Linked DNA regions of Oreochromis niloticus. The protein of the gene in region 2 interacts with the protein of the main gene of each other region in a pairwise test. Links are inferred from orthologs where the notes say so. Each region holds a gene or a part of one and is shown on either strand. Other genes may lie near its edges. The genes, in order: psmb8a, lsm1 and clic1.

The links.
Region 1: the proteins of lsm1 (region 2) and psmb8a interact in binary tests that used the Homo sapiens proteins (3 or more experiments, as listed by UniProt). The link is inferred for Oreochromis niloticus from reciprocal best matches to the Homo sapiens genes LSM1 and PSMB8.
Region 3: the proteins of lsm1 (region 2) and clic1 interact in binary tests that used the Homo sapiens proteins (3 or more experiments, as listed by UniProt). The link is inferred for Oreochromis niloticus from reciprocal best matches to the Homo sapiens genes LSM1 and CLIC1.

Annotation. Positions count from the first base shown.
Region 1 is NC_031985.2:8,393,867-8,401,756, reverse strand, and holds the start of psmb8a (proteasome subunit beta type-8), read right to left. Parts: upstream 3,043-7,890; 5' UTR 2,900-3,042; coding exon 2,750-2,899; intron 2,505-2,749; coding exon 2,363-2,504; intron 1,643-2,362; coding exon 1,531-1,642; intron 1-1,530. Other genes in the region: psmb13a (proteasome 20S subunit beta 13a), read right to left, coding at 4,921-5,032, 6,389-6,540, 6,807-6,865, 7,117-7,232, 7,327-7,467, 7,837-7,890. UniProt on the Homo sapiens protein: The proteasome is a multicatalytic proteinase complex which is characterized by its ability to cleave peptides with Arg, Phe, Tyr, Leu, and Glu adjacent to the leaving group at neutral or slightly basic pH.
Region 2 is NC_031977.2:12,015,496-12,022,618, forward strand, and holds lsm1 (U6 snRNA-associated Sm-like protein LSm1), read right to left. Parts: upstream 3,027-7,123; 5' UTR 2,880-3,026; coding exon 2,834-2,879; intron 2,684-2,833; coding exon 2,615-2,683; intron 2,459-2,614; coding exon 2,343-2,458; intron 963-2,342; coding exon 792-962; 3' UTR 48-791; downstream 1-47. Other genes in the region: bag4 (BAG family molecular chaperone regulator 4), read left to right, coding at 3,689-3,766, 4,290-4,409, 4,597-4,827, 5,011-5,277, 5,557-6,012. UniProt on the Homo sapiens protein: Plays a role in the degradation of histone mRNAs, the only eukaryotic mRNAs that are not polyadenylated. Probably also part of an LSm subunits-containing complex involved in the general process of mRNA degradation.
Region 3 is NC_031985.2:15,826,606-15,833,577, reverse strand, and holds the start of clic1 (chloride intracellular channel protein 1), read right to left. Parts: upstream 3,057-6,972; 5' UTR 2,899-3,056; intron 2,646-2,898; 5' UTR 2,623-2,645; coding exon 2,581-2,622; intron 994-2,580; coding exon 884-993; intron 543-883; coding exon 417-542; intron 1-416. UniProt on the Homo sapiens protein: In the soluble state, catalyzes glutaredoxin-like thiol disulfide exchange reactions with reduced glutathione as electron donor. Reduces selenite and dehydroascorbate and may act as an antioxidant during oxidative stress response.

The DNA.
Region 1 (7,890 bases), on a different chromosome or scaffold from region 2:
TCCAACAAACCTTTCCTCAGTAAGATGTTCAGCACTGATTTACAACCAACCTAAGTAGGCATGTACTATGAATGTCAATGCTATTTTCTGTGTTTCAATAGCTCCCTGTACAGCAGCTGTACAAGACCTGTTTGATCAAGAAAATAAAAAAATGCTTTTTGGAAATGGAACACTTCAAGCAGCAGAATGGAATGTGAGTGCCATCTATACAGCCAATCACGCCTGGGAACCCTGAAAATAAATGTAAAATCTAAGTAGTAGTTCAAGTATCACCACATCATGAATTAAGTTTTGTTCATCCTGATACCTGCAATTTTGTGGAATCCCTCTTTGATAAATCTTGTGGGTCTATGACCGGGGAACACCACAAACGAGTACAGGAGATGTTTCAGTGCAACTGTAACATTCCTGACTGCCCGACAGACGGTAGCCTTGGAAACGTGCTCAGCGTCACCAATATTATACAGAAAGCTCCCGTTTGCAAAAAAAACGAAGTGCAATACAAATAATATGTACAGAACTGAGAGAATGTCCGCGATGTGTCACATGAGCAATATAAGGCCTGAGGATGTTATTCAAATAAATTATCGATTGTGCTGAAAAACGGTAACGTTCACACAGAAAATCATCAGGAAATGATAAAATGTCCAAACGCGCTCTAATCACTCTCTCCCGGCGGAGAGCTCTGCGGAGAATTTGGGCTTCAACATCTACTGGCTCTTCAAGGAAGGGGCACGCCATGTCTGACACTTCCTACAGTCAGGATTCCGACAAAGAGGCGGAGAAGGTCAGGGTTAGTTGAAGTAAACCTGCTAGGGGGCAGGTTAGCTTCACGGAGTGTGTCGTCATAGTAACTCACTCAGAATTAATCTAAACTCGCTTTGTGAAACCGAAAACCCAGAGTTTTCGTTAACTCAGGGTATACTTACTCAGAGTTTGCACTAAACCGGCTTTCTGAAACAGGGCCCTGTAAACAAAACCCTGAACCAGAACCACAGTAATATAATCTATCGTAAATAATCAAAACACCAGAGAACCCCAAAACACTCCATAATGCAAAAATAAACCCAAAACATAACTTAAAATGCTGGGTCGAACCGACCCAGAACCATAACAGGTGTGGAGCATATATTTTGTTTGTTGTGGTCAGATGAAAATAGGAGAAAAAAAACTGTATGTTTTTAGTTAAAAAACAAGGTATGTGATGACCATGTCAGTTTATTAAATCTGTATTCATTGTGTTTCAGTAAGTTATTCTCAAAGTCTTTATGTGAAGAGCCACAGAAGAACCTCTTGTTGTGAAGTCTTAATTAAGCTCTTTGCTTCACTCAAACAAAATCAGTTTTCTTACTTTCATTTCACTTTCAAAGTTTCTTCTTTATTTGTACCAAGTCATAAAACATTCAAGGAGAAACTCGATAAAATACCTTAGTGTGTTTCGTAGCATGCGGTCAGGCTACAATACACCATCAAAGCTGAGAAAAATCATGAAATAATTGGAGGCTCTAAGAGATAATATGTAGGACAGACCTGCACTCTTTGGCTAGGAGTCTCTCCCAGTACTGACAGTCTGCAGCGCTGCCTGACATGGTGCCCAGCAGGTACGGGTTGATCTCTATCACCTTGTTCACATCGTTGGATGCTGCAAAGACATGAATAAAATATATTTTACAGTACTATTCCTAAAGTCTTGAGCCACCTTATTAATGATAGTGTGTGTTTTTCTATACAGGTATGCTTTTACTGCGTTGGCAGTGTGTTTGAGATCATTGTCATACTGAACAATTAAGACTTCAGGAAACAGCTGAGGTCCAAGCGTATCTCTGCACACCATACTGAGATATGCCAAGTTTTCAGCTAAGGGCTGTTTTGGGAATCATCTTGTTGGTATAATAATAATACTTTATGTCAAACTGTGTTATTTATGGCATTTTTCATAGATTCAGCTAAAGATATGCAAACAAATTGTGTTTTGGCTGCTAGTATCAAAGTAGCTAAAGATAAAATTTAAAATTAGCTCTTTTCTAAGTTGTCAGTTATGTGTGGACAGAACACTGGTTCACCCTTAAAAGCTTTTATATGCTTGAATGATTCATAAGTCAATGTTAAGTGGCTTAGCAAGAGATTAAAGGGGCGGCTCAAGTCTTGTTTTACAGTACTGTAGGAAATGTATAAAAATTAAGAGTAACCACCTGTAGAAGCAAATCTTTACCCTCCTTCACACCTGTTGTGTAATATTTGGACATTTTACTGGAAGCTGCACCATCTTCATTGTGGCTGGACAATAACTGATTGGGCCATTATTGCCTTCGCCAAATGTAAATGCATAATGTTTCTAAATCATTTTGTGTATTATGTTTACCCAAGTAACGCCCGGCTGAAGCTCTGGAGTCCACAGCCACGATGACTCCATGCCTGAACTTGAAGGCCAGAGTGGTGGTCCCGTGGTTCATTTCAATGCACACACCTCCATCACTGTTGCAGGATTTCAGAAACCCTGAAGGCTGAAATGAAACCCAAAATAAACAGAATGGGACGCGTGATCTGTGATAGCGCATGAAAAAATAAGTATAATGTTTCTGATATTCTTACAATCACGATTGTTTATATATACGATTCAACAGGAAGTAAAATCGCTCACTGAGCACAACAGACGCGTAAAATAACTTAGGCCAGGGCGCGTCTGACGCTTACGGCAGGTTTACTGTATTCACTTTGTTAATTTAATGCCAGATTTAAAGTCACTCACCTCTACACCAGGCGGAACCGCAAATTCTTGAGTTTTGCTCCCAAAATTGTAGTGGTTGGTTCGGTCGACGAGGTGCCTCTGTTTCACTGGAAGAATCTGTCCACGGACTTCAGAAAAAGACTGAAAGTCGCTCACTTGAAGAAGTGCCATTATCTACTGAAATAGATAAACTATATTTTAAATTTATATACGTTTATGCAGAGTAGGTGTCGAGTTTTCTAAAAATGACGAAGGCGATTGACGCCAAGGGTGATTTCCTTGTATGTGACAAAGAAATAGAAAGTGAAAGGGATTTTAATGGTTCGTTTAAAATATTAAATTTTCTTTTCTTTTAAAAAAGATACAAACATTGTAAACAAAATAATACCGAGATGCAACCATTTGCAAATATGTGCTCAATCGTAACGAATTTGTTTTAAACCAAAAACTTAGTTAATCAAAATAAACTCTGTGACTGCAGAAGGCTGAAAACCGAACAGACCAATAGAAAAACGTTATTTTGTCATCATCAGTCTCTAAGCGGAAATGCAGCCCTCAGGTTCTGTCACTAACGAGCTCATCAGTTATAAAAAATATAGCTATAATTTACTGCAGTTAGATTAAAATGCAACACAGTAACCTGCTTTGTAGTTGATCCTGTTTGGATATTAACATATTCAATATCGTTAGTTTTAATTATGTTTATTTTTATTTTATTTATTTTATTTCTTTATACCGATGTTCCAGTATTGACTTTTTTATTAATTTATACCTTTGCTTTCATTTTTTCCTGTTTATTCCCTACACTAAGGCGGTTATATCTTGGTAGTTTGTGTGTCTGCAGGTCATTTTGTGTGTAAAGGCAATAGCTCGAAAAGTTTTAAATTAAGGCTGATAAAATTTTGTAGGGGTGTAGAGTGGGGTCATGTTAATAATCCATTATAGCCCCTTAAGGTCAACTTAAAGATTTATTGGTCGGAAGTTCAGTCAGAAAGTATGACTTTTACGACGGTGGTGTTTATTGTCAACATATAGAAAACACTGTATAAAGATTTAAACTATCATGCCACATTTGACCTTTGACCTCAGTAGATTGACCTGAAGGTCAAAGTGATAATGATCCTATATAGACCTATTTAAAACTGTTTCTTACTGCCATTGTTTGTACAATCTGACAACATACAGACATATGGAGATTTTAAATGTCACATTATAGTTTGTATCCACATATGATGTCACATTTCGCCTCTGATCTCACTTTTATGTTTCACATCTGCCTTTCTTTCAAGTTGCCCCCAAAATGCGTTATATCTTTAAAGAAAGTATTGTCAATAAAAGAGGATACGCTGCCTGGTTAGTTAGAAATATAGTGTAGTATAATATCATTAAGCTCAAGTCCAGTTATTTAAAAATTAAAACACATTATCCATCACCCACTCCTATACAATGTTTGTACAAAGTAAACATCTGTTACTCTTATGCAATTTTTTACTGAACTACAAACATCTTAAAAGTAACTTCAAAAAAGTGCAAAGAAAAGAAATTGAATATATACAAAATATAATACTATTCCCTTAAAAGTAAATACCACCCAGAGAGTGAGATGTTTTGGCGGAGGTTTGCTTCTTGTTTACATGCATTTTGTAACCAAGTTTTGTGAAACTTGGAAAGTAAAAGAAACTGCTTTAATTCAGTTCCTGTTGTTTTAAATATGCAATCCTACTATAATCATCCTATCGTTTGTATGTATACATGTTCCCTATCTCCTCCTAGACAAGTGGACCAATCGTATCATGTTCTCTGTCTTCTGCACATTTGTTATTATAAATAAAATAAATAATAATAAAATAAATAAAAGTGTTTCAACTGACTTGACTAAAGAGGGTAAGTAAGTACAAAACCTGTAAAGAAAAAAGGCAACAAAGGTCATGTAAATCGGGTTTTATTCAGTGTTTCAAAGATTATTCAGTATTGTAAAAATATCTCCTCTCTATGGCCAGCAGCATCCTCTATGTTTATAAAACCCACAGTATTACAGCTTGTTTATTAGACCACATCATGCTGAAGCAGCAAAAATCATAATGAAAAAAAATTTTGGAGATCTTTTTCTATTTATTTATTTTAGAAACACGATTTGAACATGATTTACTGAAAACAAAGATGGTGTGTATGTGTTGGTTGTTTGTTGTAGCTCAGGCTGTCTCCATCTTCTGCACAGTCTCCTGCACAACTTCCAGCTTTAAAGGGACAACTTTCTCTGTCAGGACTGGAGTAGTGCCTGGACGATATTTATACTTCATTTTCCTGAAATAAAGGCACATAGATAAAACATTCAAATCTGAGGATTTATAATGTGCAGTCAAGGTAGATTTGAAGAGTTAGTGGATCTTAGTCCAAAATAGCATACAAAGTGTTTTACTAAGGTTAGATAAGAGTGAATGAGGACGAAACATGAGTGAAGAACTCAAAAGTTACATGTAAACATCCATCTTTAAAAACATTCCAGAAACGTGAGACAAAATAATGTTTCATTTTTTAAGTGGAAAGCTAAAAAATTGAAAAGCTTTCTTGTTTTTCACTTCTTTGATCTACTTTTGCTGTCCATTATTTCATTCTCAGTTTTGTTTGTGTTTTCTTAAGTGATTTGTAATTATAGTTATTGTTTTAAATTAATCTGATGAGTTTCAGTTTTCCTGCTCTCCTGTGGTCCCCATGTCTGTTTAGTCTTTTGATAGGTAGCAGGAAATTTTCTTCCATTACTCCTATTTTTGCTGGCTTGCACTGGCTGCCAGTTAAATACTGTATTCAATTTAAAATACTACTTTTCACATACAAAATTATCAATAATTTGGCACCGAGCTACCTCAGTGAGCTTCTTAGCTTACACACTCCTGTCAGAGCACTTAGATCTGCTGCCCAACTTCTTCTGGAGCAACCTCGTTCTCAGCTGAAGTCTCGCGGTGACCGCGCGTTTGCTGTAGCTGCCCCAGTCTTATGGAACAACCTTCCTGTTGCTATCCGGGCGTCTGACTCTATGCCATTGTTTAAATCACGGCTGAAGACTTATTTATTTAATCTTGCTTTTCCACCTAGTTAATATTTGGTGTGCGTTGATACATTTTTATCCGTTATGCTTTGTTAACTACTTTTATGTATTATGATTGTCAAGGTTTTATAATTGATACGTGCCAGGTCCTCTCTCTTTTCCCTCCCATCTCCTTTTTCCTATTTTACTTTTTGTCAAGCACCTTGGTATACCCTTGGTTTTTTTAGTGTGCTTTATAAATAAAGTTTATTATTATTTATTATTATTATTATTATAGTCTCCATTTTCGTGTTAAATATTCCCGTGCATAGTTACTTCCTGTTTTTGTTTGATAGTCTTTTGTTTCATGTGCATTGTATTTAGTTTTGCTTCCCTTGTCTTGTTATCCCTGATTAGTTTCAGCCATGCATGCTAGTGTTGCCTAATTACCTCCGTGATTATTTAAACCTTTAGTTTGCAATAGTTTTTGTTGTGTTGTGCTGTTTATCCACCATTGTCCCTATTTGGATTTTTAGAATTTGTTTTCTGCTTCACCAGAATAAAGGTTTATTTTCTGTTTATTAAATCCATCTTTGAGTCTGCATCCACACAAACTATGACTGGTACAGGTGTACCTGTTGTCTTTGTACTGGGACTCCTGGTAGGGTCTGATGTAGTCGACTCCTTGTTTGGTGATGACACAGATGTCGATGTTGTTGCCTGAGCCGAGGTCGTTCATGATGCCTGCTTGAATAGCAGCTCGCACAAGCTCCTTTGCTGGCTCCAGCTGAGAGCGGACAGAAAGCAGAATAAAAGAGGAGCAAAAAGAGATGACATGAAGCAGCAGAACACAGAAGCATTCATCTTATACACTCTTACCTGTTTGGTAACAGAAACAACCATTTTATCAGCTGTTTGTTTAATTTAGAGAAGGTTTAGTTCCAATAGTCCTGCCACCCTCAAATTATTCAATTAAAAATGAATACTATGTGAAATAAGTTTCTATAAAGGTTTAAATAACTAAATATCACTTTACTGCAGAAAAAACAGTACCTCTAAGTCAGGTTTGAATCCATCCTCTAAAATCCCAAGAGCAGCCAGATCACCAGATCCTGCATGAACACAATGTAAAGTCAGCTAAACACAGACTGTATGTAGTCTGTGATTGAATCAAATACAGACCTACAGCACATTAAAATGTCATTTATATTTGTTAACAGAGTCATTATCTCTGATATTTTCTTGTAAACAAAAAAATGTTCTGACAGCTGAACAGCCAGGGAAAAACCATCACAGAAACACCAACCAAGAATCCAATTAAAGATCATATGCTGTTGTTATTAAAAGCAGTTATATCACATACCCATTGAGAGGTAAGGCACCTTGTCTACATCCCCGTACGGCCCCACAGTGTACAGGTGGTTTCCAGTACAATCCACTCCCCCCAGAATAAGATTAGCACCTATTTGACCTCGATACCTGAGAGACAAAACATGTTTTACTAAGACCACAGACCACATCTAACGATCCAAACATCTCTGGATACATGTACCTGTTTCTGTGAATCACTCACCTGTAAAGCATGTCCTGCAGTATGTTGACGGCCATGACAACTCGAGGGTTCCTCCCACTGTTCAGGGAAAAGATGGTGAGGTTGGAGGACAGAAGGTCTGTGGTCTTTTCTGTATCTGCTGCCGTACCTGCTCCACAACAACTAAACACAAACAAAGAGAATGTAGAGATCATGAGAAACAAAAAAAAAAAAAGATTTGATAAGCCACAGAGGGAAAAGATAAAGGAAGAGGAAAAGAGGAAAAACCTGCTTTAAGAAACACAGAAAGCCATTATTATAAATATATATATAAAAAAAATACTGGTTGTTCACCCTCAGTGGTCTCAATATCCCATTACATCATGTCATTATGTGAACAGTTCTCAAGTATGTCATCTCTTAAGTTGAAGAAAAGGAGGCAATTAGCAATTAAATATGCTACAAAAATGAGAAAAAATGCAGAATTACAGTAAACAGTGCAGATTAAAAGTTGTGAGAGTATTGAAGTATTTCTCCTCTAACAACACTTACTATATATTTGGAGCGATGTAATGGATCTTGGCACACATTTTATCAGCCACCACT
Region 2 (7,123 bases):
CATGTGGCACGAAGATAACTCATTTAGGAGCGAGTACAATCTCGCGGCTGCCCCGTTTCACAGAAGCCACGATGGATCTGTCAAAACGATTAACAAGCTTATTATTGACCGCTGAAGGCAGATAGGATCGATTTCTCAGAGTGCGGACGGGCTCTCATTTATATAAACAGGACGTGGGGCAGCCTGATGCACCGATATGCCGCCTGCTTAAGTGCAATTACCACAATGAATTATGGCATTTCCTCACATAACAAATGCACAAGTGTCCGGTTTGATGTCACATTACAGCGGCTAACGTGATCTGCATGGTGGTGTCTGTGGCGCCATCCTAAAAGAGGGCACTGGGCCCTGATTGACCTAAAGTGACGAGCTTCACATCCCTTTAAGGCATGACACCCCTCCCACCCCACCCAAGTAGACCTTCCATGATGAAAAATTAAACTCTTTAATGGGCCAAAGCATGTAGTCTCCCCGCCCCCCTCAATAGCAGTTCCACATTATTTAAACATTCACCACATGATGAAAGAATACAAAGTGCTATTGATTCTTAATTGTCAACATAGTGATTTCAGAAAAAAAAAATATTTTTTTAAACTTTCTTGACATGACACCCCCCCCTTACAAAACTCAAATTAAATCGATACAGTACATCACAGTAGATTGACTCAGGATAATGGTGTGTTCTGCTCACTTAAAAACAAAAAGTCAGGCTGCCATGCACTCTCAGGTTCAACTTAAAACTCGTCAGTCCAATGCCAACTGAGAAAGAGGCCCACGGCAACTAGGTTGCGTTAGTATTCGTCTAGGTTGTCAGCTTTGGGTATGGACAGGCCTCGGTCCTTCAGGACCTGCATTTTGACTTTCTCGGTCTCCTGTTTGGCTTGCTGCTGCAGCCGCTGCTCCTCTAAGATCTCTTCAATGGAGACTTGCTGCAGCACCGTGTCACAGGGCTTATCCATGTCCTGCAAAGACAAGAGACCGTATCACATCTTGCACAGGCCTGAAACACTCAGATAATACTACTGAACACATTTTAATTGGAATTACTGGGCGTTCTGTAACTTTGAATTATTACTAATAAAATACCTGATCAAAATTTTGATTATAGGCAAACAATCTGATTACACTAATGAAGCAAACAAGTGTGTCTTTATCAAACAAATAATGCGGAAGAATAAAGTGAACCTCTGTGCTAATGATTTCTCCAAAAGCTACTTCCTTTTTCCAGTTGAGGACAGGCTGCACACCTGCCACTTCCTAGAACTAAAGGCATGAAACATCTGCAAATCTTCAAGAAGACTGCATGGTTCATGCCAACCATCAATCACAAACTGCTTTCTCATTATAAGCAGAATTACAAAATGCTGTTCATTCATGCTTGACAAACATTTTCTCAAAACTATACATAAATGAATGTGTGCAGAAGATGTTGTATGCTGAGACTATGTGCCTTTTTGTGCTTCATTATCATTTCTGATATGACACAGGATTTGATGTCAGCTTACTCTCATCGTTTGCCAGATGCAAGCTCACCAAAAGACACCAAGAAGTTAATCACTGCCGTTCCATTTCCATCAGCATTTCAGAACAGAAATAAATTAACAATCAACTGAACCTAATCATCAGGCAAATGTCACAAAAGGCAGCAACATCTTCTAAAGCGCTGAGAAGCAGATCAGAGCACAGGTACTGTCAAGCCTCTGCTATGACTGAAGCAGTTTTACATCATGACATGTTGTACTGTTACAGCATCATGTGGATCCCTTTAACAGCAGAGTACTGCTGTCAAGCATTAGGTAGGAATAACAGAGTAAGACGAGTTCATGAGTCACTTTTGCTCAGTGTGCTGGCCTTGAAGGTCTTGTGTCACGGCGGTGTCCCTGTAACGCGTCACCTTGGCTGTTGACGTACATCGGACAAGCATGATTAAGGAGAGTCAGATTTTAAGGATGCGTCAGCAGCTTCCACTGTTGCCTCTTAGCAAGTAGTTCCTGAGCCTGCCAGTCTTTCTGGCATCTGTTTGCACCAGAAAGACTGGTGAGGGTTCTCACCAGGTACTCCGGCTTCCTCCCACAGTCCAAAGATAAGCATGTTAGGTTAATCGGTGATTCTAAATTGGCCCACGAATGGCTGTGCGTCTCTCTGTGAGAAAGGCCAGATCTCACTCTGTGTCAACTGGGATAGGCTCCAGCCCGAGGACCCTTAGCCACCATTTAAGTGAACCCCTACTCTCACAACTGTATCAATGCAGTGTGTGAAGGACATAAGGAAATTTAACCATGTCTACTGATCCTTCTGACCATTTCAAAAACCAAAGTGAAAACGAGATTATGTCTACTTACTATCTCTCCAAGCAGCACCACATTTTCTCCTCTCACGATGAATATTCCTCTGGGGATGTCACCAAACTTTTTTCCCACGTGGATGCGCTCAACTGTCTGGTGAAAAACTAAATTGGCTGGAGGACAAAAGAACCGGTGTAAATAGAGAGCTGAAAACAAGAGACACGATCATGGGAATCATAATGACAGATAAACTGAGCCTGCTGTAACCAGTGCAGTGACCCGACTCAGAAAAACAATACTAAAGGTGGATATAATTAAAAGAGTTATACCAAACTGATCAATGCTTCTCAGGTAACCAATCAATGTTCTTCCATCTCGGAGCAGCACCAGGTGCTTCTCTGCGGGATACAAACAAGAGGAGCAAGTTATATGACAATTTAAACCCGCTGCAGATGATCCAGATTGCGTCGGACACGATGCTGCACATCTTGAAACGATTATTTCTTTTTAAACCAAATCAGCTCCATCAAATCACTCCTCCAACTTACTATCGATGTCGTCAATGAGGCTTGCCGTCCCTGGTACGTAGTTCATCTTGTGCTGCTGCTTATTTGAGTCTTGTATCTGTATATACCGTCAAGCCATTAATGTTTCAATACATGTTTCTCACAAAATTAGCACAGGAAGCGTCTTTATACACGCCAGGGATGAACTTCCTGTAAGCATTTAACCCTTTGTGCGCTGTCGATTCACTACATTTCTAACACGCAGGGCCGGCCCTTTAAAAAATACATCTTTAAATAAATAGAACTTCAGGCATCGGTGGGTTTTGAAGATTAAAATAGCAGTTAATGTTTTTAAAATGTTATTTTTATGACCTTTTCCCCCATTGGCTAATAACGTCTACTGGCGCGCATGCGTCGGCAAAGATCGTATATACACAACAATGGTCACCGAGCCTGAACAATTCAAAACGCCCTACATTATGTAAATAAATGTATAATTTTGTTGAAATACACCCAGAAAATAGACGTTTAACGTCTTAAAATCATATCATAAATTTATAGCTAGTGAAATGAGGGTAGACCATGGCGTTACTTTCTCCGTCCAAACGTTGGTTGTGCCAGAAAAAATCTGGCGGAGTGAGACCTCTGTAGGTTTAGCAGCGCTCGCTATTAAAGGCGCAGCACGGGGGCGCTCACGTCATTCAGTCGTTTCCCGACTTAACCAAAGGGTCCGCACTTGTATAGGAAAACGACAACATTGCTGCTGGCGTTTCAGACGACCTGACACATCCGATAAGTAACGCGAGGCTCGCTGCAGATTTGTTTTTCCCCCCCACAATGACAGATGACAGGGCGGCTGCCGGTAAGAGCGCTTAGTCCAAGCATCATCATTATCAAATGCAGTCCAATCTGAAACCCGGCTGGCCCTCGACTTGCAACTCGGGAAATAATCACGGGAACTGGAATAACAGTATGGTAAGTAAGTGGACACAGCTCAGACATATTCTCGTGGTATTCACACTCTCTTTTAGTGTCTTTAAACCTTAAAGAATAGCGTGAATTTGTGGTGGAGATCATTTTCAGCCAGCTCGCACAAAGCTCTGCCTATGCTAGCTGCGCGGCTAACTGAGCTAACTAGCATTATGTAATAGTAACGGCTAAGGACAGAGTTCAGCTGTTTTCCGGGACTTTTACGTTCATCTTGACGCGACTCCACTGTTAATAAGACTCCACGTGTTTGAAAGAATGAGTGAGTATTTCGTGTCTTTCTTGTGACATGTTGGGCCCTTTTTTTTTTCTCCGGTCAGTTTTACTCTACTTAAGGATTTTGCATAACTGGTTCCGCAGGCAGATGAATCAATGTCCCTGTTTGCACAGTTATTGTTTGTTCTGGGATGGGTAGTGACGTTGAAGGCGTAGTTTCAAAGTTTAATGTGTCATACCAATGTCTACTTGTTAGTACTCTGGTGCCAACCATGCTTTGTAACTGTATTTGCAGGATGCTCCTCAGTATCCAGGCTATCCTCCACAATACTGGTATCCCCAGTCTCATTCCACAGGGCACTATGCAAATACCTATCCCTCCGGATCAGATGTTCAGCCACAGTACAATCCACAGGTATAGATATACAGATGCAGCATAACCAGTCCCTCTGACTCTAAGGTTGGGTTAGTGGATTTATGCTTAAATGTCTTTAATTTACATTTTCATATTAACATCTATCATGTCAAAGTTGTTGTATCTCTGATGGATTTATACTTGTTATTTTAAATAACTAGGTCCCCTTCTTGTGTCTTTCACATAGGTAATGCCTGCTGGTTATCCAAACGGCCATGGAGTCTACAGTCCAGCACAGAGTCAGTATTCAACAAGTGGTTTCCACCCATCCAACCCTTTCTACTGTGCTGACCCTCAAAGACCGGCTCCGGGTTCTTATCCTAACCAAGGCTGCCACGCAGAGCAAAGCAGTGGGTCTTCTGGACAACCTCACTCTCAACACCAACATCATCACTATGCTGGGCCACACTGCCAAGGGGTTGGTGCATTTAAGCGCACACAGTTTTCAAATATAACAGTAGTTTAAATAAAGTCTTACAAATGAGGTATATTATACAGTGTAATTTTATTATTATTTTTTTTATCTAAAAATAGATGTCATTTTCAAACGCAAAAGAAACTTTTTCTGAATGTGAGACATTTGTCTTATTTCTGCTCTCAGGGTCCTGGATATCCTGGATCGTACCCTCACTACAGCGAGAGTGGCCATGCATTGCCTCCAAATCCCCCATACCCAACTGGCCAGTCACTTCATCCCAGCCAGCAGCCTGACGCATGGGCACATTCTGGTCCATATGTACCCTCACAGCAGCCATGGCCGCCGGGACAACAGCCTCCACAAAACCATTATGGGAATCCAGTCCGTCCACCACATCCTCCAGCGTGGCCAGGAACTGGAACAGGTGCTCCTCCACCTTACCAGCCCAAGGTAAGAATCTTAAGAGATTTTTTTTATTTTATTTTTGTGAAACACAGATGTGCACACAATGTATTACAACTGTCATGATGAACTGCCTTTACACTTTGTTCTCTGTAATCACACATCTGTTCTGGGTGGATAGCATCTGTTTTTGGAGGGATTAGATTTTCTAAAAAATAAATACCAAATTTTGCTAAGGTATATTTATTTGAGTCAGTTTACAGCCTCTATCCTTATATTATCAAACATTTTAAACGCAGTCTTTTTCAAACTCTTGTGTTAATGTAGGACCAACAGCACCAACGTGCCCCACCGGTGGGACCTAAACCGAAGCCAGCACCATCCCCGAATCCCCCCAGTGGTAATCCTACTGAAATAAGTTCTCCTCCACAAATGTATAAAACTGGGAGAGGTGATCCTAATGCTTCGCAAGCTGAGGCCCCGCCTTCGGTTCCAGCATCAACTCCAAATCAGGCTGGACCTCCGCAACTGAGCGATAACCCCAGTCTGGCTAAGGTCCAGCAGGTCATGTCCAGAGTACTGCTGCTTCAGGAAGACGTTGATGAGTTTGTTGGCAAAAAAACAGACAAGAGTTATCGTTGTCTGGAGGAACTGCTTACCAAAGAGCTGCTGGTGCTAGACTCTGTGGAGACTCAGGGACAGGAGAATGTCCGGCAAGCCCGAAAGGAGGCTGTACAGAGAATCCAGGCCATTCTGGACCAGCTGGAAAAGAAAGCTTTCTGAGCTGGACTTGTTTTGCTTGTGGGTCACTTTGATTTCATCTTCCTGATCTTCCATGGACATGTTCAGGTTCTTGTCTTCTTTTGCTGACCAGTGTTGTAGGGATTTTTTTTTAATTTTTTTTTTTCCCTCCACCACCATGTTACTATAAAATACCTGGAAAAGGTGGCATGGACCAAAGAAAAAGACACAGCAGTTACTGGCACGTGGAATCCAACTTTGAAGCTTAATAATGCTGGTATAAAAGGTATGGTGGTATTAGACGTGAAAGCTCATGGTTGCTGGCGTCAGCCTCAGTGAGTGACTCTATCAGCTGCAAAAGCAGGAGCGAGTCACCGGAAGATGAACTTGTGTAGTGTCACATTGCAGCTCTCTGTTGTCTCTGACTCATGACGCAGATTATCATCACACTGTCCCTCAGGAATGTGGGTCAGTTTCAGTCTGATCCAACGTGTATCAGCTCTTGCACTTCTTTAGCTGTCTGTCGTTTCATCTCAGAGTCCCTTTGCATGATCAGGAAATTGTGCTTTCACCTAATAGAGTAAATGCATTCAGTTGTCCATAGCCACTTGCCTCTCCATGCCTCCGCCTCTGTAGGTGCAGTGATTTCTTTTTTTCTTCTTTTTTTTTTTTCTCACTCAGTTTAAGCCCTGCATGCACTGTAATGTCAGATAGGCACTTGATACAGTCATGATATCTCAGAGCTCAGAACTGGGCCTCGAGTGTAGCAGATTAGTGAAAATCCCCCAGAAGATTGCTGTTCCCAATTATTTCATCTTTTTTGATGAAGACCTAGAATCAGACCTACATATGAATGCCATGTGTTTCACTTCACTCACTGATAAAGACTTGATTAAGTATGACTGGACAAGCTGTTCTTTTTCTCCATCTTTGAACATTCAAATATATATAAAACTGAAATCTCTACTTGAACATTTTCAGTCATGTTTTACGCTGAAGGACAAGGTTGGATTAAATGTTTTTCTTTCTGTCCTTTTGATATTGAGGACAAAAATCTATGTTTATATCAAACAGATTTTTGTGTGTGCATCACTGTCCATTATCTTGTGTATGTATGTTTTGTTTTTTTCCCTCCTCAGACATTCTTGATGTG
Region 3 (6,972 bases), on a different chromosome or scaffold from region 2:
ATGTCCAATCACATCAGATATAAATCTTCAAGCTATTCGTGTTGATGTGCAAGAAGTCAACAAATGCATTTGCAGCCAACTGTTTATTTTGTTATGATTAATCTATTCATCGCTGGGTCTACAACGGAAACACCTGCAAAAATGTAGAATTAGATAGTTTAATCTCACGAAGATTCAGATTTAAATCTTGTGTTTTGGAGTTGGCGTGCAGGGCCTACTTTTTTTGTCTTGTCTACAAAATGTTGCCTTATTCCTGCAAAATTCTAAACAATCTGTGCTCAAAGCCTCCAGAGACATCCTTTAAGTACTGTATCTCTTTGTGCCCAACAAAGTTGCGATATTCAGATCATTATCAGATCAAACAAGACAGTTTGTGTTATCTGTATCAGCACTTCAGAGATGAAGGAAAATATTACTTTGGAGGGCAGAGATGCTCTTCCAGGAACTCCTCAATCTTGTTGGTGTCGGTTTTCACCTCGCTGCCGTACAACAGGAAGGGAGGCTGAGCACCCGGTGCCAGGTCCTTCAAGATGTCTGGCTTCCTGAAAGCGGGACGGAAAAAGTCCAGAAGACAGATGGAGCGAGTCAGAAACAGAGAAAGAGAAAAAAAAAGGAAAACAGGAGTGGAAAGATTTCCAACCGCAGGAAATTACCCATGTGAGCAGCTACAATGTGTCCAACTTTCACCGAAAATCAAAGCGTGGGAGCTTTTTATCTTTTAATGAATGAATGCAATACCCCAGGCTTTTTCAGTGCCAGCTTCACTTGGGGGCATTAAAACATTAAAAGTGTAGGCGAATGTTCTCTTGTTGCGCCAGCATTAGTGAGAGAGACAGAACAAACAAAAGTGGCCATACAGAGCGTGAAGGACGAGTGCTTTCACCTCTTCATATCCACCGTGGTAACGTCAAAGGTGACTCCCTTCAGCCACAGCACCATGAAGAGACGCTGAGAGAAAGGACAGTTGCCGATGCTCTGACCATCGCTTCCTGCCTGGGAAACAAAAACACATAATAAAGCCGCCGGTTAATATTACAGTAATGTTTCCATCTATTTTTCTAAGACTTTCCTCCATAAAATACTGGAAAATCTGCCGTGTTTCTTCAGGTCAGCGATCCAAAAATGCAAAGAAAAGCCTTAAAATATTTGTTGCACATTTGGTTACAGTATGCATACTGCTGATGCAGAAACGTGCACCTTAGTTTTTCACCCTTAAACCAACCTGCAAAGTCAGCACGCAGGATGTCTGAGTCAAAACAAAGAGAAATATACATCACCACACATCACAAATCCTCGAAGAGCTCAAATCGACAACTGAAAGTGAAGACGTTTGAGCAGCATGGAATAGCTGCTGTTAAAAAAAAGAAGAAATTAGAGGTTTTTTTGGTATGATGGAAATAAAGTCCTAATTTGTGCCATTTAAATCGCAAATTTACACAGTTTATCTGCTTGTCTGATCTGTCTTTACAGCAGTAATTTTCCCACTATCAGATAAATTGGAATATAATTATTGCATGAATTAAATCAACTATGATTATTTAATCTGCACAAGGCTGTTTTAAACACTTTAACACAGTTTGCAGACCCGATCATGAATCAGCTCCAAAAACAATCCCCAAAATGAAACTACCTGAAGCCTGAGATGCAGCATATGTTACTTCTCTTACTTCAGAGCCATACAGCAAACTGTGGTATCGATACTTAAGTAAATATTGGGCAAATATTGCCAATACTAGTACTGATACTAGGGGAAAGCAAGGCATTCTGAACAAAATAAATTTTTTAGAGCAACAACACACACCTTTCGGTTTTCATGTATTTTGAAACTCTTTTTTTTGGGGGGGGGGGTGTCTGGAATGTAAACGTGGACTGACCCACCCACCCCTAACTTCTTTACTGCTGTAGGGCTTGCAGCACCCAGCCCTACACAGTGCCTTAGGGCATGCTAGTTTTGATCTTTAGGATCTGAAACGTGGCCTCATCAGGCAACCGCCTAGTGTTGTTAACCACAGCTCATGAGAAACTACATTTAAGAGGTCAATTTAGAGAAGTTACAACAGCATCTTTCACCCTGAAGAAGGTGGGGGTGGGAAGCACATGTTCACACAGAGAAATCTTTATGTGTGAAGTGAGCCACACTGGTTAGTATGTTACTGCCTGTTTTTGGCTCAAAGAAAATGGGATTAGCCTGCCTGGCCAACATACTAAATATAGATTAAAGTCGGCTGGCTGTTATCTTAATGTGCGTTTAATTAGATTAGCCTTACAGTAGTTTATAAGCCCGGTGAGTCAGCAGAGGGGGGTCTGATTGACGTCACTATTACAACAAATACTGCGTGAAAATAAAAGATAAAACAAAGGTGGCTTAAAGTCAGCTGTAAGGACCGTGCAGGTGTCAGAGACAGTTTATCAGCATGTAATAGAAAACACGCCGAGCGTGCTGATGAAACAATAAGATAAAAGAAGCCCGAGCAGACCGGCTCAGCCCGCTGAATAAACTCAGGGCACATAATGTCGCCCGTGTGCGCGTCACTCTTTGGGTGTGATGCTTTCCTTCTCTGCGCCCATTCACTCTCTTACCTTCACGAAAAGTTCAAGTTTGGGCTGACCGGCGTCGCTCATCTTCACCCGTAGCTGCACGAAACCTATAAAGAGAGAGAGACGGGCGTTAAAAAGTTTCTAACACGAAGCCCGATCGAGCGCAAAGTCGCCTTTTCTGAGCCAGAAACAACCGCAAACGCGGGGAGCCCAGCCCATCTTCCGCTACACAATACCGGTGACTAAAGTGACAAACGCGACAATGTAGCCGCTCCACGGGCGTCACAAAGCAAAGCCCTACATGTCGTGCACCCCTAAAGCTCAAAATTCACATAATTTAGAGTCAGTAGAGCTTCTAACCTCACAGTGCTCGAAGTTCTCGTTGCCTGTTGCTGGTTTCTCCTCCCAGTTCTGCTGCTGAATGCGTGTGTGTGCCCGCGTCTGCTGGCTGCAGCGACACAATCATCATCATCATCATCCTCCTCCATTTCCTGGTGGTGCATGACGGGCTGAGCTCTCAGCGAATAAAAGCGGCCGCAGTATGAAGGAGCGGTCTGTTTACTCACGTTAAAGATCGTTTATTTCAAAGCAGCAAATAAAAACACAGAAAAGTCACCGCGGAGAGGAGAGCTGGGAGCAGGCGGGATGTTACGTAACAGCCACCATGAGAAGAGCACTTGGCAGCTTTGGGGAGACGCGTTAAAGGCACTTATTCACTGGTTATGGGGCGGTGGCTGATGTGTCTGACTGTCCCATATACAGTTAGGGTTGTAGTTTTTGTAGTTTTGCCTCTGTGCACAACCACAGTGGATTTTTACATCAAACATTAAACATCTGATTAAAATGCAGACTTTATCATTAAGAAAAGCTGTTAAACTTACGAAAATACAGTTAAAAGTCCAAAAGTTTATCCCCTCTTTCACATTTTCCAGCCTTCCTCGCGATCACCTGCCAAAAACGGATTTCCAATGTTTGCGTGTGTTTTTATGTGTAACATCTTTATGTATGTTGGTAAATAGACTTCGGTGAAAAGGGTTTACAAGGGGGTTATACGTCAAATTTAAAAATGGCCTGTTTTCAAGTATCTTTATAACTCTGTGTTATTGTACTTACATTATAACCAATCCGGTCAACATTTGTTGCAATTTCTGCTGTCCTCTCGGCCAGATTACACTTTAAATAAAGGATATATAAGGGTCCCTGCCAAAAACTGATTGCGGCTTCTACTTTGTTACAGGAATGTTGTTTGTGGTTCAAGATGACTTGATATCATTCACGAAGGATACATTTGACAAATGTTTGACATAGACCCGCGGCCTTATGTTTCGACACCCCTGGTGTAAACAAAAGTGGTTAGTTGATGCTCAGTCCCTGATTTTAAGAGGCTCATACATTATTGAACGATCTAATATGAACTGTTTGTAAAATGTGAATGAAAACCCTTTACAGTTAGTGACGCCTGTTTCTTCAGGCCTTTACTGCACCCACCTCCAGTTGCTGCATGTTGTTTCTGTCTTCAAAAACTGGAAAGCATGCTTCGTGTAGCTGATATCACGTGACTGAGTTGGCCATTGCAAAAATATCCCAGTTCTCTGCCTTGAAAATGTCCTTGGTTTCTTTAGTAGTTTGCTTTGGCTCATCAACAATTTTCACTGTGAAGCGCTGTCTGACCTGTTTTTCAGCACTTGGCTCAATCTGAGCAGAGAATATAGCCCATCCCGTTCCTTCTATCAGTAGTCACATCACCAATAAACGCGAGTGATCCGGTTCTACTGGCAGCCATGCGTGCCCATGACCAATGTTCCCTCTAAACTGCGCACGTGCGCAGTTGCGCACTGCTGGCACGGTCTCTGCACACAGAAAATCTGCGTTGCGCACAAAAAAAATCTAACCTGAATTGAAATTAAAATTAAAACTTTAACAATTCTGTTTTGCAGTGTTAGTCAGTAAGTGACTGGCTGCTCCTGTATGGGATTAGAACGATGCCACCTTATCCTATAGTCCAGCCAATAATGCGATTCACATTCGTATATACGCAGCCAATCAACGTTGTTGACAGGCTATGACAGCGTCCTTATGTGCCGACACCGGTGTTTTAGCTGGCAAAGCGGCGTGGCTGATGTGGAGTGAAGCCACATTAATGACAACGTGTACAACCATTGGAGATGTGAGCAGGACAGACGGAACAATTGACGGGAAAAGTGTGGACTTTATACCAGTTTTTAAATTGTGTTGATAGGCCACGTAAAACCAGAGTTATGATAAAAATATCTGCAATGTTTGGTTTTCTTCCTGAATACTATCGTTGTTTATATTTACTGCGGGAAGAAACGGTAAAAACGGCGTGTTATAAGGAAAACGCTCGAAAGCACTCTCCGCCTGTGAGCAAAGACAAAACCAAAAAAACCCACCCTTTCCTATTGGTCGAAAAAAGTACCGTGTCGACCAATCAAAAAATGATATGGCAACGTGGCATCTAGTTGTTAAGAAACGGGGGGAAGTTTTAGGAGTGACGGCGGTGTTCTGAGATGTGAGAGATTTGAGACATTTAGCGCAAATCTTGTGTAGTTAGTGTGTAGTCAGTAGTTTTGTTGTGTGTGTCAGAACAATGAGGCGGCTGCTGAATGTTACAGGTGTTACAGGAGTGATACATCTCCTGCTGTCAGGCCTGCAGGTATCAGGCTGTTGTTCTCCTTTATCTCATAGTGGACAGAAATTATTTTTGGAGTGGCACAAATAATTTGTGTGGCATCAGATTTGATGCAGAACAGCTGATTGTTCTGTAAATAGTTTGAAATGTTTATTTAAAAACGCCTTGGCTGCATTAAAAAAAAAAAATAGCTGCAAAAAACTTTGTTGTTTGCCAAACTGAGTTACTTTTTTGAAGTAGTAACTATATAATTAATTGCCCAACATTGGTCATTATATACTGTATTTGGCAGACAGAGAGTTATAGGACTCTCTCCCAGACCACAGACTCATAATACAAGTCAGAGCTTTATGAAAAAAAAAGAAAAAAAGAAAGAAAGTTGTGTTTTCGAAATTGGAGTTCAAGTTATTTTTACTTCCAATAGTGTTAACATACTACACAGGTCATGAACAGGATTTTTTAAATTTTCATTGTAAGTGGGCTAAAGCAGTTAATTAAAAGTAGTCTAACAGAAATGTAAATGCTGTAATTTGATTATTTTAATAAACCATGTAACTTGGATGGATTAGATGCTGGCATGACCACAGTGCTCACGTCTGATGTCGCTCACAGTGGTCCAAGGGACCGCTCAGGGAGTTTGTGTGTTCGCTCAGACACATGAAATATTTGAGGGAACATTGCCCATGACATAATAATACCTCCACCACGTTTGACAGATTACCCGATATGCTTCAGATCATGAGCCGTTTCTCTCCGTCTCCATGCTTTTCTCTTCCCATCGTACACTTCGTTTTGGTTTCATCTGTCTCAAAAATTATTTTTTCAGAACCTTGCAGGCTCTTTTGGGTGTTTTCTGGAAAAAACGTGAGCTTCTTTCTAACATTAAACACAAAAGGCATTAGTAAGGTCTACAAACCTATTAGTTTTGGAGATCTGGTCATCCTGTTTGTTTTATCTTAGTTTACAGAAGTTTTTGGATTTTCCTGCTATTTCTGAAAACAACAATAACATGTAAATATGTATGTAAAATTAGGACCTTGGGGGCCAAACTGAAAAGATAACTTACAGAAAACACTCGATTTGCTGTAAATATTAAATCTCCTTTCAAATTAACACATTCAGGATCACAGTCCAAACATTTCACATTTCACAGATTTTTGTTGTCTTGGTTTTTAAAAAAGGTTTCTTGTCACAATTAAAAAAAAATTATTTGCTTCATTTAGTTCTGACAAGTTTTACCAGCCATTGGTAAAATGCTGCCCCCTGCAGGTTAAAGTGTTTACTCACAATCCGCCGAAAATCTGGAGGTCCTGTCTCCTGAAATTTTGAGTATAAGATGTTACATTTCCTGCATTCTGATGATTTTTGTTTTTGGACTGATTTGTAAGTTTTCTAAAGGATAAATGTCCCACAGAGAGCCGATGCAGGCATGGAGACAACATCCCTTTTACTGCGATGTAACTGACCACTGCAGCACCGTGCTGCCTCAAAGTCTTTGTGTTGCTTAAAAGCAACTATTCTCAACTTTAATCCTTTAAATTTTTCGATGTGCACATGCTGACATAATTTACTATTTCTTCTTTTATTTGGTCTTTACTTCTTTTATGCACTAATTTTAATTGATTTCTATCCATATTCAAAGCTTATTGCATATTCAAAACATGCCACATGGACGCCATCTGTGATGGTTTTAACGTGTTTTCAGCTTCGTCTCTGCTATGTTACTGAGGCTGGCTGAAACCAAGTATCACAGGCTGGCTGTGTGGGAGCCTGGGAGTGAACAC